Saccharomyces cerevisiae S288C: one gene and its partners. The gene in region 3 interacts genetically with the main gene of each other region. Each region holds a gene or a part of one and is shown on either strand. Other genes may lie near its edges.

Region 1 (3,723 bases), on a different chromosome or scaffold from region 3:
AATGCTGGTTATCTATGTATCGGGACATGGTTGCAACGTTTCCAACAAGAACAAGAATAGAAAAAAAAATACCGAAAGCGTCCTTTGCGTTATACCTACCAACCGTGTACAAGCTTTACTCTTCTTGCTTTCTTTATTTGCTATGTATCTTTATGTTTATATGTATATAAATCTGCCTACTTGTCTTCCTTTGGCATGCCAACCCTATGTTTTTTCAATTGCTCAATTGCAAAGAAAATTAACATTGTGAATGGACCCAGTCTAGTGAAACTTGGCAACCACCCCCGGAACATGAAAGATGGGCCCTCTTTGCGGACAGCGTCGGCAAGGATCTTCAAAGCCGGTTGATGGTCTCCGCTGCCGTTCATGATACGTGTCTTCATGACGTCTGCTGGAGAGCACACAGTGGTGGCCACCAGGCCAGCCAACAGGGACGCTGTCAAGTGTGTATAGTTCTTGGATGCGTCGAAATCTAATTTTGTGACCAAGTAGTTCTTAAACACGTCATACGTAACGACCTGACTTGCCGTCATCAGTATGCCCCTAACCATGTTAGGCTTCCAACCGGTAAACAAGGTTTTCAGTCCACCCTCGTAGCGATATATCTTGTACACACCATCGATAGCGTTTTTGTAGTTTCTCCTCTTCGCTGCCTCCAAAGCAGAGTCGTTTTGCATTCTGATATTTACAACATCTGCAAAATTCCCTGCAAGCCCCCCAATGGCACCACTGAACATGGAGCAAGGTAAAAGATACGCCATGTTAGTCAATTGCTCGCGTGGGATCACATTCTCTTTCAACAAGTCGTATGCACCGAATCTCACCGTCGTGTATGTACATTGCCTCAACACAGCAGCGCTCAGGCCGGAATATAACCCCACCACACCTTCATTCGCCAAGATACTCTCCAACATCCTGAAGAGTGTGGGCTTGGGCATAGGAGCCGCCTGCAGTCTGACTTTGGCCAAGTCAAGAGGATGTGTCACCATGGTAGCAAAGATACCCGCTGCACCTCCGTACCACCATGGATACTTGATATTCTTACCGGCAGACTCTTTTGCGTTGGTTGACATGCCGTCCAGCTGTTGCGTTATCTTTTCGACACTTTCAGAGCAAGAGAAACGAACCTCTACACATAAATATGCATACGATTATGTATATCCATATATATATATACACTACAAGCCGACCGCCCGACCGTTTCCTGCCCCCAACATTGCAGCGTAATCGCTTGCCAAAGACCACACCTTGCAGCCCTTTTATACAAACATGTCTACGACGTACAGTGGAGAGGGCCCTTTCCTTGGCACTCAACTGAGATTGCGACGCGATACCTTCTGCGACCGTTCCTACTATCGCGGCCATAACTCCAACAACGACAGCGGATGCGCTGTTCTGCGGATGCGTGACCGTATCCGCAAAGAACGAAGATTAAATTTAGGGTCCCCGGCATTGAGGATGGTTCTGCCAAGAACTCACGATATAAACCAGTTGGTTGAGCATCGCATGGATGAGTATGGCGTATTTTGATTGCTCATATATAGTGGGGGGGAATACTCATGCTGTGAAAAGCACAACTCTTTTCACTCAACGAGGTTAATGCCTTCTTTGTCTCCACGCCGTTTTTTTCTGGCGCCCTTTTGAGAAAGATAGCCTGTCCCGTAATCGTGGCTTTGGCAGAGACAGAGGGTGAGCGAAAGAGCGGGCGAAACCGAGAATGGATTCCGAGTAAAGGATTGCGATGGCATGAAACAAAACCGAGAGGCACTCCTTGTAAGGACACACATACACAGACGTAAACATATATATACATACGTATACTCAAATATATCTTCGTATCATTAGGTCAGCTTCTCTCTTCCGCACGTAGAATTAGAGAATTAACGCAAGACTATACCATTATAAAAACGCATAAGAAACAGTTTCATCATGATTGACCGCACTAAAAACGAATCTCCAGCTTTTGAAGAGTCTCCGCTTACCCCCAATGTGTCTAACCTGAAACCATTCCCTTCTCAAAGCAACAAAATATCCACTCCAGTGACCGACCATAGGAGAAGACGGTCATCCAGCGTAATATCACATGTGGAACAGGAAACCTTCGAAGACGAAAATGACCAGCAGATGCTTCCCAACATGAACGCTACGTGGGTCGACCAGCGAGGCGCGTGGTTGATTCATATCGTCGTAATAGTACTCTTGAGGCTCTTCTACTCCTTGTTCGGGTCGACGCCCAAATGGACGTGGACTTTAACAAACATGACCTACATCATCGGATTCTATATCATGTTCCACCTTGTCAAAGGTACGCCCTTCGACTTTAACGGTGGTGCGTACGACAACCTGACCATGTGGGAGCAGATTAACGATGAGACTTTGTACACACCCACTAGAAAATTTCTGCTGATTGTACCCATTGTGTTGTTCCTGATTAGCAACCAGTACTACCGCAACGACATGACACTATTCCTCTCCAACCTCGCCGTGACGGTGCTTATTGGTGTCGTTCCTAAGCTGGGAATTACGCATAGACTAAGAATATCCATCCCTGGTATTACGGGCCGTGCTCAAATTAGTTAGTTGGCTCTGCCTATACGCATATATGTATATATATATATATATATATGTATGTATGTGTATATGTATATGTACGTATACCTTACATCATCATCTTTCTTTATATTCTCTCTAATGCGCATTTACATCGGAGTACACGTCAAATCTTCTTTGTTTGGTTAAGGGTACCGCTTGTCTAAATGACTCAATGACTTCGGGATCTAATTCAGCATAAATAATCTCTTCTCCCTCGCCAGCTTCAGCTACAATCTTGCCTCTAGGGTCCACCACTATAGAGTGGCCATATGCATGGTAAGAACTCTGTAGATTCCTTGCGGGAGAACATAACATCACGTACACTTGGTTGTCAACTGCCCTGCTTCTTGCCAGTAAATGCCAATGCAAGGGCCCTGTGACAGTGTTGAATGCACTAGGGTAGATCATGGCAAACGCACCCTTGCGTGCACTTAGCATTGCGAGTTCCGGAAACCTCATGTCATAGCATATACCTACGCCAAACTTACCATATTTCGTGTCAATGGTAGTAGACTTCTCTCCAGGGCTCAAGGTTTCACTTTCATGGAACGATATACCGTTAGGAATGTCTACATCGAAAAGATGGACCTTCCGATGCTTGTCAATCAACTTGCCATCCTCGTTGAAAATTATAGAGGTGTTGTAGATTTTGTCTGTCTTTGGATCCAATTCCGGAATTGTTCCTCCTACCAAGATGATTTTAAACTTATTGGCTAAATTAGACAGAAATTGAACTGACGTCGAAGGCTCTTTCGGATTGATAACTTCTGAATACTTTCTAAACTGATCAGTGGAGTACGGAGAATTGAAGCATTCTGGCAATACGACCAACTTGGTATCCGGCTGTTCCTTCATAGCCCTTTCAATGAACGTTGCAGCCCTTTGAAGATTGGCCATTTTGTCAGGACTCGAGCCTGACAGTTGGACCAACGCAACTTTAATTTTTTGTGAAAGAATCTTCGAAGCACTCATACTGGCGATCTTCACGCCCTCCTGCTACTACAAAAGCTGTGTTTTTACAAGAATCAAATTAAGTTAGCAAGATATCATACAACATTATTGATAATTTTAATATCGTGTTCGTACCTGATGACGTATCTGTGCATTGATAAGGCCCGCATGGTTTCAGAA
Region 2 (5,072 bases), on a different chromosome or scaffold from region 3:
CTCAATTGGCTAAAGCTGTGAGAAGACATTTGAATGATCAACCAAACGCCGATATAGTCACTATTGGTGATAAAATTAAAATGCAGCTATTGAGAACCCATCCTAACAACATTAAATTGTCTATTAATGGAATTGGTAAAGATGCCCCAACTTTCCAAGAATCTGCTTTGATTGCCGATAAGTTATTGAGTGTCATGAAGGCCGGCACTTACCCAAAGATTTCCATTTTCTACAATGACCCAGTGTCTTCCCTATCTTTTGAACCATCTGAAAAACCGATCTTTAACGCCAAGACCATTGAACAATCCCCATCATTCGGCAAATTTGAGATCGACACGGACGCAAACGTTCCAAGAGATTTGTTTGAATATACTTTGGCTAACCAAATGTTGACAGCAATGGCTCAAGGTTATGCTGCTGAAATTTCCGCCAGAAGAAACGCTATGGATAACGCTTCCAAGAATGCCGGTGATATGATCAATCGTTACTCTATCTTGTACAACAGAACAAGACAAGCTGTCATTACTAATGAACTGGTTGATATTATTACTGGTGCTTCCTCTTTGGGATGATAAAAAAATCACCCTGCATTGCCTCTTTATTTGACGTTGTTTTTGTAGAACATGAAACGAATTTTGACTTGATGAGACGAAGTATATATCCAAAGAATACCTTAAATAGAAAAGGAAAGATAATAAATACTAAACACTACTATATATTCAGGTAAAATACAAAAATTATAACATTTTTAAAACTTTTTTTTTTTGAAAGTCCTTCTCGCTTTAGGATTTTTTCCCATTAAGATTATGATGGTTTCATGTATGTGTCAGTTAAAAAAAATATGGCTAAGTAGCAATGAAACGAACCAAGAAAATGAAAACAATATATAGTGCTGTTGAAATAACAAAGACATTGGTATATATTTGTAAAATGTCTGTTAAATGTTTTTTATCTCAGGTTCTTGCTTGTCTTTGGTAGAAGAAATTATAGTAAACAAACAAACAAACAAACAAAAAAAAAAAAAAAAAAATGGTCGCAATCTCAATGATTTGGTTTTTTACCAAGCGTATGCCCAGAATATTTGCATTAGCTTTTAATTTAATTTCAATATTTCTTTTGATTTTTCTTCTCATCGGCTGTTACAACCCGTCAAATCAGTCAACATTTCTAGTGAAGTATAAATTTGATGACAACTCACCTTTTTATACGATCATAGAGAAATCATATGAAAAATCAAATACAACTCTGGGCTTGGAGGAAGTCATTATAAGATCCGGTTACATGGGTGTTTGTATTGATAACATTCCCTCCCAATATAGCTCTTACAATAATATGACTACATTCTCCAATTCAATTTGCTATGCAAGAAAGAATTTAAGCTCGGTTCCCTTATACAGAGACTTGGAAATTCAACTCTCAAATATTGCATCTTCCAGCTCCAAAACCCAATCAAGCGTTGTCTTGAACATTTTGAAGTTAGCCCAATTAACTTCGGTTAATGTTATACATCCATATGTCTTGATGGCAACTGTAATCCTAACAATCCTAATGTTTCTATTTATTCTGTATGTAACTGTCCCTAAGTTACCATTCAAACTAGCGGTTAATAAATTTCTACTGTTGCTAAGTTCAACTATAGTTTTGACATGGGGTATTGGTGCGATGTGGACTCATGTAGGGATAAATGCAAGTTACAGATTGGTTCCATCATCAAGTATGAATATAATCACTGTCAAGAAGGGCAAGAAGGCAGCAGTAATGGCTTGGTTTAGCTTTGCATTCCTCCTTTTAGACAGTGTGGTTTTATGGTTAATATTTTTAAGGGATAGGAAAAGCTTGAAAGATGAAATTGATAATGTTCCATGTGCCCAAAATAGGTACAATAACTACTCTTCGGATTCATCTACATTGCATTCCAAAGTTTAGTTTTATCCTCAAATAAACATATAAGTTTTGAGCGGATATTTCAGAATGTCAATTTTTAAAAGTAAAAGGAGAAAAAATTTATATAATTCACGATTAACATTATATAATGTGATGAACTACTTAAAAAATTTAACGTTCGATAATTAAGTAACAACAGAGAAAATATGAGCTTACCTAAACTCTAATCATTACCGTCTGTTTTATTTACTGTCACCTTGATGAGCGACTAAAAAGATAGAACGCGGGTTTTTCGCGCAATGTAACAAAGCTCCAGAAATTTTTTATAAATACTAATGTTATAGCAAAAAAAATAAGGACCTTAAAGTCGTAAACTAAATTGAAAAGCCCAAATCATTCAAATTCTATATCGTTGAACTTTTAATAGGCTGCGAATACCGACTATGTCTCCCATACAGGTTGTTGTCTTTGCCTTGTCAAGGATTTTCCTGCTATTATTCAGACTTATCAAGCTAATTATAACCCCTATCCAGAAATCACTGGGTTATCTATTTGGTAATTATTTTGATGAATTAGACCGTAAATATAGATACAAGGAGGATTGGTATATTATTCCTTACTTTTTGAAAAGCGTGTTTTGTTATATCATTGATGTGAGAAGACATAGGTTTCAAAACTGGTACTTATTTATTAAACAGGTCCAACAAAATGGTGACCATTTAGCGATTAGTTACACCCGTCCCATGGCCGAAAAGGGAGAATTTCAACTCGAAACCTTTACGTATATTGAAACTTATAACATAGTGTTGAGATTGTCTCATATTTTGCATTTTGATTATAACGTTCAGGCCGGTGACTACGTGGCAATCGATTGTACTAATAAACCTCTTTTCGTATTTTTATGGCTTTCTTTGTGGAACATTGGGGCTATTCCAGCTTTTTTAAACTATAATACTAAAGGCACTCCGCTGGTTCACTCCCTAAAGATTTCCAATATTACGCAGGTATTTATTGACCCTGATGCCAGTAATCCGATCAGAGAATCGGAAGAAGAAATCAAAAACGCACTTCCTGATGTTAAATTAAACTATCTTGAAGAACAAGACTTAATGCATGAACTTTTAAATTCGCAATCACCGGAATTCTTACAACAAGACAACGTTAGGACACCACTAGGCTTGACCGATTTTAAACCCTCTATGTTAATTTATACATCTGGAACCACTGGTTTGCCTAAATCCGCTATTATGTCTTGGAGAAAATCCTCCGTAGGTTGTCAAGTTTTTGGTCATGTTTTACATATGACTAATGAAAGCACTGTGTTCACAGCCATGCCATTGTTCCATTCAACTGCTGCCTTATTAGGTGCGTGCGCCATTCTATCTCACGGTGGTTGCCTTGCGTTATCGCATAAATTTTCTGCCAGTACATTTTGGAAGCAAGTTTATTTAACAGGAGCCACGCACATCCAATATGTCGGAGAAGTCTGTAGATACCTGTTACATACGCCAATTTCTAAGTATGAAAAGATGCATAAGGTGAAGGTTGCTTATGGTAACGGGCTGAGACCTGACATCTGGCAGGACTTCAGGAAGAGGTTCAACATAGAAGTTATTGGTGAATTCTATGCCGCAACTGAAGCTCCTTTTGCTACAACTACCTTCCAGAAAGGTGACTTTGGAATTGGCGCATGTAGGAACTATGGTACTATAATTCAATGGTTTTTGTCATTCCAACAAACATTGGTAAGGATGGACCCAAATGACGATTCCGTTATATATAGAAATTCCAAGGGTTTCTGCGAAGTGGCCCCTGTTGGCGAACCAGGAGAAATGTTAATGAGAATCTTTTTCCCTAAAAAACCAGAAACATCTTTTCAAGGTTATCTTGGTAATGCCAAGGAAACAAAGTCCAAAGTTGTGAGGGATGTCTTCAGACGTGGCGATGCTTGGTATAGATGTGGAGATTTATTAAAAGCGGACGAATATGGATTATGGTATTTCCTTGATAGAATGGGTGATACTTTCAGATGGAAATCTGAAAATGTTTCCACTACTGAAGTAGAAGATCAGTTGACGGCCAGTAACAAAGAACAATATGCACAAGTTCTAGTTGTTGGTATTAAAGTACCTAAATATGAAGGTAGAGCTGGTTTTGCAGTTATTAAACTAACTGACAACTCTCTTGACATCACTGCAAAGACCAAATTATTAAATGATTCCTTGAGCCGGTTAAATCTACCGTCTTATGCTATGCCCCTATTTGTTAAATTTGTTGATGAAATTAAAATGACAGATAATCATAAAATTTTGAAGAAGGTTTATAGAGAGCAAAAATTACCAAAGGGTTTGGATGGAAATGACACTATTTTTTGGCTCAAGAATTACAAGCGCTATGAAGTCTTGACCGCTGCTGATTGGGAAGCCATCGATGCACAAACAATTAAATTATGATTTGATGTTCCTGAATTAGGATAAAGTATTTTTCCTTGCACGAGAGTACGTATGTAAACGTAATATTGATAAAGAATCAAAAAAAGTTTTATATCTATCTATATATGTACCTAATAACATATGGAAAGGATTATTTAAATTCAAAAAATAAAACAATAAAGTTTATAAACTAACCAAATTATTGTTAGAGTTGGTAATATTAGCACTTCAGTTAACTCAATACGATTGATCTTGAAACTATCGGTAACTGAATGGTTTGTTTCAGGATCACTTACGAATGATCCAGTGGAATAGTACCTTTCCATTAGAGCATCCTTCTCACTCCAAATTTTATACAGCCATTCTGAAAATTCATTCTCGTCCTCTAATGGAATATCTTTAACATCAAATGCTCTGATGTGAATATCGACTAACTTCGGGTATTTTCCTTCTAAAAATATGCTCTTCAGCCCATATATAAGCTCACCATATTCCTCCTGTTTTACACCGGAGTAGCCGATCGTAATATCATAAAGACTTTCAATACTTGGCTTCAACTTTTGTAACGAGTATCTTAGGCCTGTAGAATGAGGCAGTAGCACATTCTTGAATGGCTTTTTGCCTATTTTGGCAGCATATTTAGCACTTTTTTGCCTAGTATCAGCACTGAGATTTGTACCTTCAGGGAATAGGATAAGATTGTATGGCCAATGGATTTGTTTTGGATCAATAACCTCCGGATTCCATATGCTCTCT
Region 3 (3,760 bases):
GCGTGTGGGTTAGATATGAATAAAAGAATACTACAATACATGCCGGAACCACCAAAATGCTCTTCCTTGAGACAAAAAAGCTATATCATGAAGAAAAGAACACATTATAGTTATCAGCAGGAACAAAAAATTCCTGATTTAATTAAATTAAGGAAAATCAATACCAATCCGGAAAGAATTCTTGATGCACCTGGTTTCCAAGACGACTTTTATTTAAACTTGTTAAGTTGGTCCAAAAAAAATGTCTTAGCTATAGCACTAGACACTGCATTATATCTGTGGAATGCCACCACTGGGGATGTTTCCCTGTTAACGGATTTCGAAAACACCACAATATGCAGCGTTACGTGGTCTGATGATGATTGTCATATCTCTATCGGTAAAGAGGATGGGAACACCGAAATTTGGGACGTTGAGACCATGTCATTAATTAGAACTATGAGATCAGGCTTAGGTGTCCGTATCGGTTCATTGTCTTGGTTAGATACTTTGATAGCTACAGGCAGTCGTAGTGGAGAAATTCAAATCAATGATGTCAGGATCAAACAGCATATTGTATCTACATGGGCAGAGCACACAGGCGAAGTCTGCGGTTTGAGCTATAAAAGTGACGGATTGCAACTTGCATCTGGTGGTAATGATAACACTGTAATGATTTGGGATACCAGAACGTCCTTGCCTCAATTTTCCAAGAAGACGCATACTGCTGCTGTAAAAGCACTAAGCTGGTGTCCATATTCGCCAAATATTCTAGCCTCTGGAGGCGGACAAACAGATAAACACATCCATTTTTGGAACAGTATCACAGGTGCACGAGTTGGCTCAATCAATACCGGATCCCAGGTGAGCTCTTTACATTGGGGCCAAAGTCATACGTCAACCAATGGTGGTATGATGAATAAAGAGATTGTTGCCACAGGAGGTAATCCAGAGAATGCAATCTCTGTTTATAATTATGAAACAAAATTCAAAGTTGCAGAAGTAGTTCATGCTCATGAAGCAAGAATATGCTGTTCTCAATTGTCCCCTGACGGAACCACATTGGCCACAGTGGGAGGAGATGAAAACTTAAAATTTTATAAGATATTTGATCCAAGATGTACAGGAAGATCGAGAGAAGACGGATTGATGGATGGTATGCTAGGACTTATTGGCAAGGAAGGTTGTCGAACAAATGATAAGGAGAATCGTTCCAAAAATTCGAGTGAGATTCATACAAGGAGGCCCTCTAGTACCAGCCAATATTTGATCAGGTGATAAAATAAAAAAAATAAAAGTTCATGTCAAGGCATATAATGAAATTTCCATACACGCATACATAATGTATAAACATAAATGTATTCAAGAAGCTTAAGAAATAAAAGTAATGAACCTTGAGAATACATCAAGATATAACTCATCACATGTTAAAGAACCCACACACCACACGCGCGAGAACTGGGAGGGAGAGAAATTTAGCAAATAACAAAATTTAGGCCTTGGAAGAAACCATAGCAATGCAATAATCGTTATTAACATAATATCTACATTGAGAACTTCTTGGGCTAGTGGTTTTGCTGCAAACTGGAAAATTGTATCAATCTTTTAACGTTAGCTAAACATCTTCTGCTGTGTTAGCATTAGGAGGAAGCGAAAAGGAAAATACATAATGAAACCGACACAGGATTCACAAGAAAAGGTTTCTATTGAACAGCAGTTAGCTGTAGAATCGATAAGGAAGTTTTTGAACTCGAAAACATCTTATGACGTGTTGCCTGTTTCTTACCGTTTAATTGTCTTGGACACCTCGTTGTTAGTGAAGAAATCACTGAATGTTCTTTTGCAAAATAGCATTGTCTCTGCGCCATTATGGGACTCCAAGACTTCCAGGTTCGCTGGACTTCTAACTACTACAGATTTTATTAATGTCATCCAGTATTACTTCTCCAATCCAGATAAGTTCGAATTAGTAGACAAATTACAGTTAGATGGATTAAAAGATATAGAGCGTGCTCTCGGTGTTGATCAACTAGATACAGCTTCAATTCATCCTTCTAGACCCTTATTTGAGGCGTGTCTTAAGATGTTAGAATCAAGAAGTGGTAGAATACCACTGATCGATCAAGATGAAGAGACACATAGAGAAATTGTCGTTAGTGTTCTTACGCAATATAGAATTCTGAAGTTCGTTGCTTTAAATTGCAGGGAAACACATTTTCTAAAGATTCCAATTGGGGACTTGAACATTATTACGCAAGATAACATGAAAAGCTGTCAAATGACCACTCCGGTCATAGACGTCATTCAGATGCTTACCCAAGGTCGGGTTTCTTCCGTCCCTATTATTGACGAAAACGGCTACTTAATCAACGTATATGAAGCATACGATGTCCTAGGCTTGATAAAAGGAGGCATCTACAACGACCTGTCATTGAGCGTCGGAGAAGCCCTTATGAGGAGAAGTGATGATTTTGAGGGTGTTTATACATGCACTAAGAATGATAAATTATCTACTATTATGGATAACATCAGAAAAGCAAGGGTGCATAGATTCTTTGTAGTTGATGACGTCGGACGGTTGGTTGGTGTCTTGACGTTAAGCGATATTCTCAAATATATCCTTCTAGGTAGCAACTGAAACGAGCCGATGAGATTTTTGTGTACATACTATAAATAAATGCAACTAATAAAGTCATGATTAATCAGTCATGCATACTTCATCTGACCAATATATTTTCATCTTGCTTATTTTGGGTATAATTCGGCGGAAATTCGGTTATAAAGCGAAGTGAAAAATCGATTAGTAATGATACTGATGCGATCTCTGGGAGGGGGGAATGCTGCATATAAGGGTGAAGGAAGATAATGCAAAGCCTTTTGTAGTATTGTCTGTTGATACCAAAATAAATTAGTTCATCAAAAAGGTACAGGCAGCTAAAGAAAAGCTGTAAATTTAACGCCGTAGAAGGTATTTTTCGTGAGATCTATCTCAAGGCATCATTTTTTTTATTTTCGCACCAAGATAGGAAGAAAAAGAGTCACAGTATAGAGGACTAACCGTTAAAGATTCTAAATCGGTACTGTAAATACTTTGAAATGCCTCAATCTACTCCAAGTCAAGAAGTACAGCGTGTACCATGGGATAATAAACCTGCTTTGAAGCAGATAACACTCCGAGCAACCATAGCAGGTATCGCTATAGGGTCTCTGGTGCTAACATCAAATTTTCAATTTGGCCTGCAAACCGGTTGGGTTTCCATGATGTCCCTGCCATCGGCATTGTTAGCTTGTGCTTTCTTTAAAAATATCTGGCCATTAATATTTCCGAACGACAGGCCTTTCAGTGACGTTGAAAATGTATACGTACAAAGTATGGCAGTAGCTGTCGGAACAGGCCCATTAGCCTTTGGGTTTGTCGGCGTCATACCTGCCATCGAGAAGTTCCTTACTAACGACGAAAGTGGTGGATTAAGGGAACAAGGACAGTCCTTCACTTTTAGAGAATTGTTAATATGGTCCACAGCCCTAGCATTCTTCGGTATTTTTTTTGCAGTTCCTCTAAGAAAGCAAGTAATTGTTAGAGAGAAACTTCCCTTCCCCAGTGGTAGCGCCACGGCCACTTTAATTTCAGTGCTAAATGGAACTGAGATTTTACAAGAGGTTTCTAAGTCAGAGTTATTGGAAATGAGGCAGAGGAGATTGAATGAATGCCCTGAAGTGCTACAACCCAACAGAGATCCAGAGGAGGCGGATTATTTAATGAACTCTTCTCATAGCGAAC
Region 4 (3,485 bases), on a different chromosome or scaffold from region 3:
GAATTGGCTGAACAGGGAACGTGTCGATGTCAGCATAAACACCTCCATGAACTAACAGTATTAAGTATTTGAAAAAATCTATCTTTAGGATGATGGAGGGCAGAGCTTCGTAAGTCTCTAGGATTTCCGGTATGGAGTAGAAGTAGTGGTGTACTAGTGCGTTTATCACGTCATGGTTCAACACTTCGTGCGCAAAGCCCGGATTCTTGCTTTCCCACATGCCCTTTATATCTTGAACACGCTCGGGACCTTCATCATTGGACCAAGTTTGCCAAATAAATGCTGGGAACTTGACATGGGAATCGTAGGGGAAAGTCATAGCTATGCGTTCTCTTAGGGTGGCCTCCGGAGGTGTTTGTTTCAAGTCTTGGATTTTTTTTTCCAGGATCTTACGTTGTTTATCAAATTGCTTTGCTTGAACTTCCTGTTGGTGTCTGATCTCCTGAGCCAAACTCTCAAAATGTTGAACTAGATCAGAATCCGAACTCTGAATATTGTTGGCACTATTAATGCTTTGGGAAATCTCTTTGGGCAAGTTCTGCAGAATTTTTTGTAAATCAGTAGCATTAGAATTGTGAAATAGGTATCTAACTCCAAATGCTAATGAGATGAGGGCTATTATGGCGAATATCATCAACCTCCTGAAACTGGAGGCTCTTTTTGTTGTTTTGGCCATCGTTAACCGCTACAGTCTATATATCTATCTGCTGTCTTCCGAGTAGAGTGCCTCTTCTCTGCAAGAATACGTGCAAAATGGAAAGAGAGGAATGTTCATTATGGTCACTGTTATTTTTTCACTTTCTTCGCTGCTGGGAAATTTCGTTATACTTATCGGAAAAAACATGTAATACGCTATATAGTAGAAATAAAAAGGTAATATAAACATAAGGTTAAAATTTGAAAGATTAAGCAAACAGCGACGTGTCCACAACGTGAAACTTCCGTACCATTTCTTGCAACAATTGGTAAACAGCATGACATCTTGCAGGCAACTCTTTGTTGCTTGCTTGCGACGCCTCCTCCTTTGTCAAAGGTACATTAATGGAGATGACCACATCCGTGTCAAACTGGGTTAATCTGATCAACGCTACGCCGATGACAACGGTCTGTGCCAGATCTGGTTTTCCCCACTTATTTGCTACTTCCATAACGAGTCCGGTGAACTTGGTTCCTTGCTGAACAGTGTCTTCTTGTAAAGCTTCCCATTTGGTGGTCCCGTTCAACTCCGTCAGGTCTTCCACGTGGAACTGCCAAGCCTCCTTCAGATCGCTCTTGTCGACCGTCTCCAAGAGATCCACGATAATGCTTTCATTGGTGGCTAGTCCATCTTCGAATTCTTCTTCATCGCGACGGGAATTGACGTACACCTCCTGTGTATCGGGGACTTCTCTTAGAGTAGAAGCGTCTATAAACCCAGGTGGGACGACAGTAGTGATGGCGCCGCCGTATAATTCGACTTCCTTGTTGTTCATGCTTCCTTGATGACCAGGGTAGGTGTCAATGAGAGTGCATGTGGAAAGTTGCACCGGTTGTGAAATATGAGAAGCCTTTTCAATCTTCATATGCAAACCCACACATGCATCGTTGGTTTCTGTCCACTGCCACTGCAATGACCACTGGATAAGGGGTCTTTATAAGAGAACACATATGAAGAACATGAACGTTCTTGGACAGAGCCATAAACAGCAATTGAAGACAACAAGAATAGCGCAAGTCAAGCGATGAAGGAGTCAGTCCAAGAGATCATCCAGCAACTCATCCACAGTGTCGATTTACAGTCTTCCAAGTTCCAGCTGGCCATTGTGTGCACGATGTTCAATCCTATCTTTTGGAACATCGTTGCAAGAATGGAATACCACAAGCATTCTCTCACCAAGATGTGTGGTGGGGCCAGAAAGGGCTGTTACATGTTGGCGGCGACCATATTTTCGCTAGGTATCGTCAGAGACATGGTGTACGAGTCTGCATTGCGTGAACAGCCTACGTGTTCTCTGATCACGGGCGAGAACTGGACCAAGCTGGGTGTGGCTCTCTTTGGTTTGGGGCAAGTGCTTGTTTTGAGTTCCATGTACAAGCTGGGTATCACAGGGACGTACTTGGGTGACTATTTCGGCATCCTGATGGATGAGAGAGTCACCGGCTTCCCCTTCAACGTTTCCAACAACCCCATGTACCAGGGTTCCACTTTGTCCTTCTTGGGCATAGCCCTTTACAAAGGAAAGCCTGCGGGGCTGGTTGTTTCTGCCGTAGTTTACTTCATGTACAAGATCGCTCTTCGTTGGGAAGAACCTTTTACTGCCATGATCTACGCTAACCGTGATAAGGCCAAAAAGAATATGTAAGTGCTCTATTTCTATATATTCTATAATGTTAGAAGCCTATGCTATTACCGTTTCTATATAGCTCCATAAGCAATTTCTTCGCGAAAGTGAAAAAAAAAAATTTTAATGCGATGCTCTATTTAACAAGGAATACAATGAGAGCATCTAGCGCACACAAACAACTACAAAACGCAATAACGACACAGCAAGAATGAGTCTCAGCACAATCATATGTATTGGTATGGCCGGATCCGGTAAAACAACTTTCATGCAAAGGTTAAACTCCCACTTGCGGGCAGAGAAAACGCCACCATACGTAATCAATCTTGATCCTGCAGTATTGAGAGTCCCCTATGGTGCAAACATCGATATCAGAGACTCAATCAAATACAAGAAAGTGATGGAGAATTACCAGCTAGGTCCGAACGGTGCCATTGTCACCAGTTTGAATTTGTTCAGCACCAAGATTGATCAAGTTATTAGGTTGGTGGAACAGAAGAAGGACAAGTTCCAAAACTGCATCATCGACACTCCAGGCCAAATCGAATGTTTTGTGTGGAGTGCGTCGGGTGCCATTATCACGGAATCTTTTGCCTCCAGCTTTCCCACAGTGATTGCATATATCGTGGATACGCCTAGAAACTCATCCCCAACTACATTCATGAGTAACATGCTGTACGCCTGCTCCATTCTGTATAAGACCAAACTTCCCATGATTGTCGTTTTCAACAAGACCGACGTGTGCAAGGCAGATTTTGCTAAGGAATGGATGACGGATTTTGAGAGTTTCCAAGCAGCAATCAAGGAAGATCAAGACTTGAATGGTGACAATGGGCTGGGCTCCGGGTACATGAGCTCATTGGTCAATTCTATGTCACTGATGCTTGAAGAATTCTATTCCCAGCTAGACGTCGTGGGCGTTTCCAGTTTTACCGGAGACGGATTCGACGAATTTATGCAATGCGTAGACAAGAAAGTTGATGAATACGACCAATACTATAAGCAAGAACGTGAAAAAGCATTGAACCTAAAAAAGAAAAAGGAAGAGATGAGAAAGCAAAAATCATTGAATGGCCTGATGAAGGATCTAGGGTTAAACGAGAAGAGCAGCGCTGCAGCCAGCGACAACGACAGCATAGATGCCATTAGCGACCTCGAAGAGGA

Evidence for each region.
Region 1: mutations in SNF4 (region 3) and ORM2 together harm fitness more than expected from each alone (negative genetic interaction), as found in Saccharomyces cerevisiae (4 studies listed by BioGRID).
Region 2: mutations in SNF4 (region 3) and FAT1 together harm fitness more than expected from each alone (negative genetic interaction), as found in Saccharomyces cerevisiae (3 studies listed by BioGRID).
Region 4: mutations in SNF4 (region 3) and OPI3 together harm fitness more than expected from each alone (negative genetic interaction), as found in Saccharomyces cerevisiae (6 studies listed by BioGRID).

The regions. Positions count from the first base shown.
Region 1 is NC_001144.5:826,801-830,523, forward strand, and holds ORM2 (sphingolipid homeostasis protein ORM2), read left to right. Parts: upstream 1-1,929; coding exon 1,930-2,580; downstream 2,581-3,723. Other genes in the region: DIC1 (Dic1p), read right to left, coding at 177-1,073; NIT3 (putative hydrolase), read right to left, coding at 2,689-3,564. UniProt on the Saccharomyces cerevisiae protein: Component of the SPOTS complex that acts as a negative regulator of sphingolipid synthesis. Acts by inhibiting serine palmitoyltransferases (LCB1 and LCB2) activity.
Region 2 is NC_001134.8:315,939-321,010, forward strand, and holds FAT1 (long-chain fatty acid transporter FAT1), read left to right. Parts: upstream 1-2,327; coding exon 2,328-4,337; downstream 4,338-5,072. Other genes in the region: ATP3 (F1F0 ATP synthase subunit gamma), read left to right, coding at 1-572; FIG1 (Fig1p), read left to right, coding at 1,030-1,926; CST26 (putative acyltransferase), read right to left, coding at 4,478-5,072. UniProt on the Saccharomyces cerevisiae protein: Acyl-CoA synthetase required for both the import of long chain fatty acids (LCFAs) (C14-C18) and the activation very long chain fatty acids (VLCFAs) (C20-C26) by esterification of the fatty acids into metabolically active CoA-thioesters for subsequent degradation or incorporation into phospholipids.
Region 3 is NC_001139.9:290,385-294,144, forward strand, and holds SNF4 (AMP-activated serine/threonine-protein kinase regulatory subunit SNF4), read left to right. Parts: upstream 1-1,648; coding exon 1,649-2,617; downstream 2,618-3,760. Other genes in the region: ubiquitin-protein transferase activating protein CDC20, read left to right, coding at 1-1,257; YGL114W (uncharacterized protein), read left to right, coding at 3,076-3,760. UniProt on the Saccharomyces cerevisiae protein: Adenine nucleotides-binding subunit gamma of AMP-activated protein kinase (AMPK), an energy sensor protein kinase that plays a key role in regulating cellular energy metabolism.
Region 4 is NC_001142.9:571,172-574,656, reverse strand, and holds OPI3 (bifunctional phosphatidyl-N-methylethanolamine N-methyltransferase/phosphatidyl-N-dimethylethanolamine N-methyltransferase), read left to right. Parts: upstream 1-1,721; coding exon 1,722-2,342; downstream 2,343-3,485. Other genes in the region: HOC1 (alpha-1,6-mannosyltransferase), read right to left, coding at 1-676; Ran GTPase-binding protein MOG1, read right to left, coding at 906-1,562; GTPase NPA3, read left to right, coding at 2,533-3,485. UniProt on the Saccharomyces cerevisiae protein: Catalyzes the second two steps of the methylation pathway of phosphatidylcholine biosynthesis, the SAM-dependent methylation of phosphatidylmonomethylethanolamine (PMME) to phosphatidyldimethylethanolamine (PDME) and of PDME to phosphatidylcholine (PC).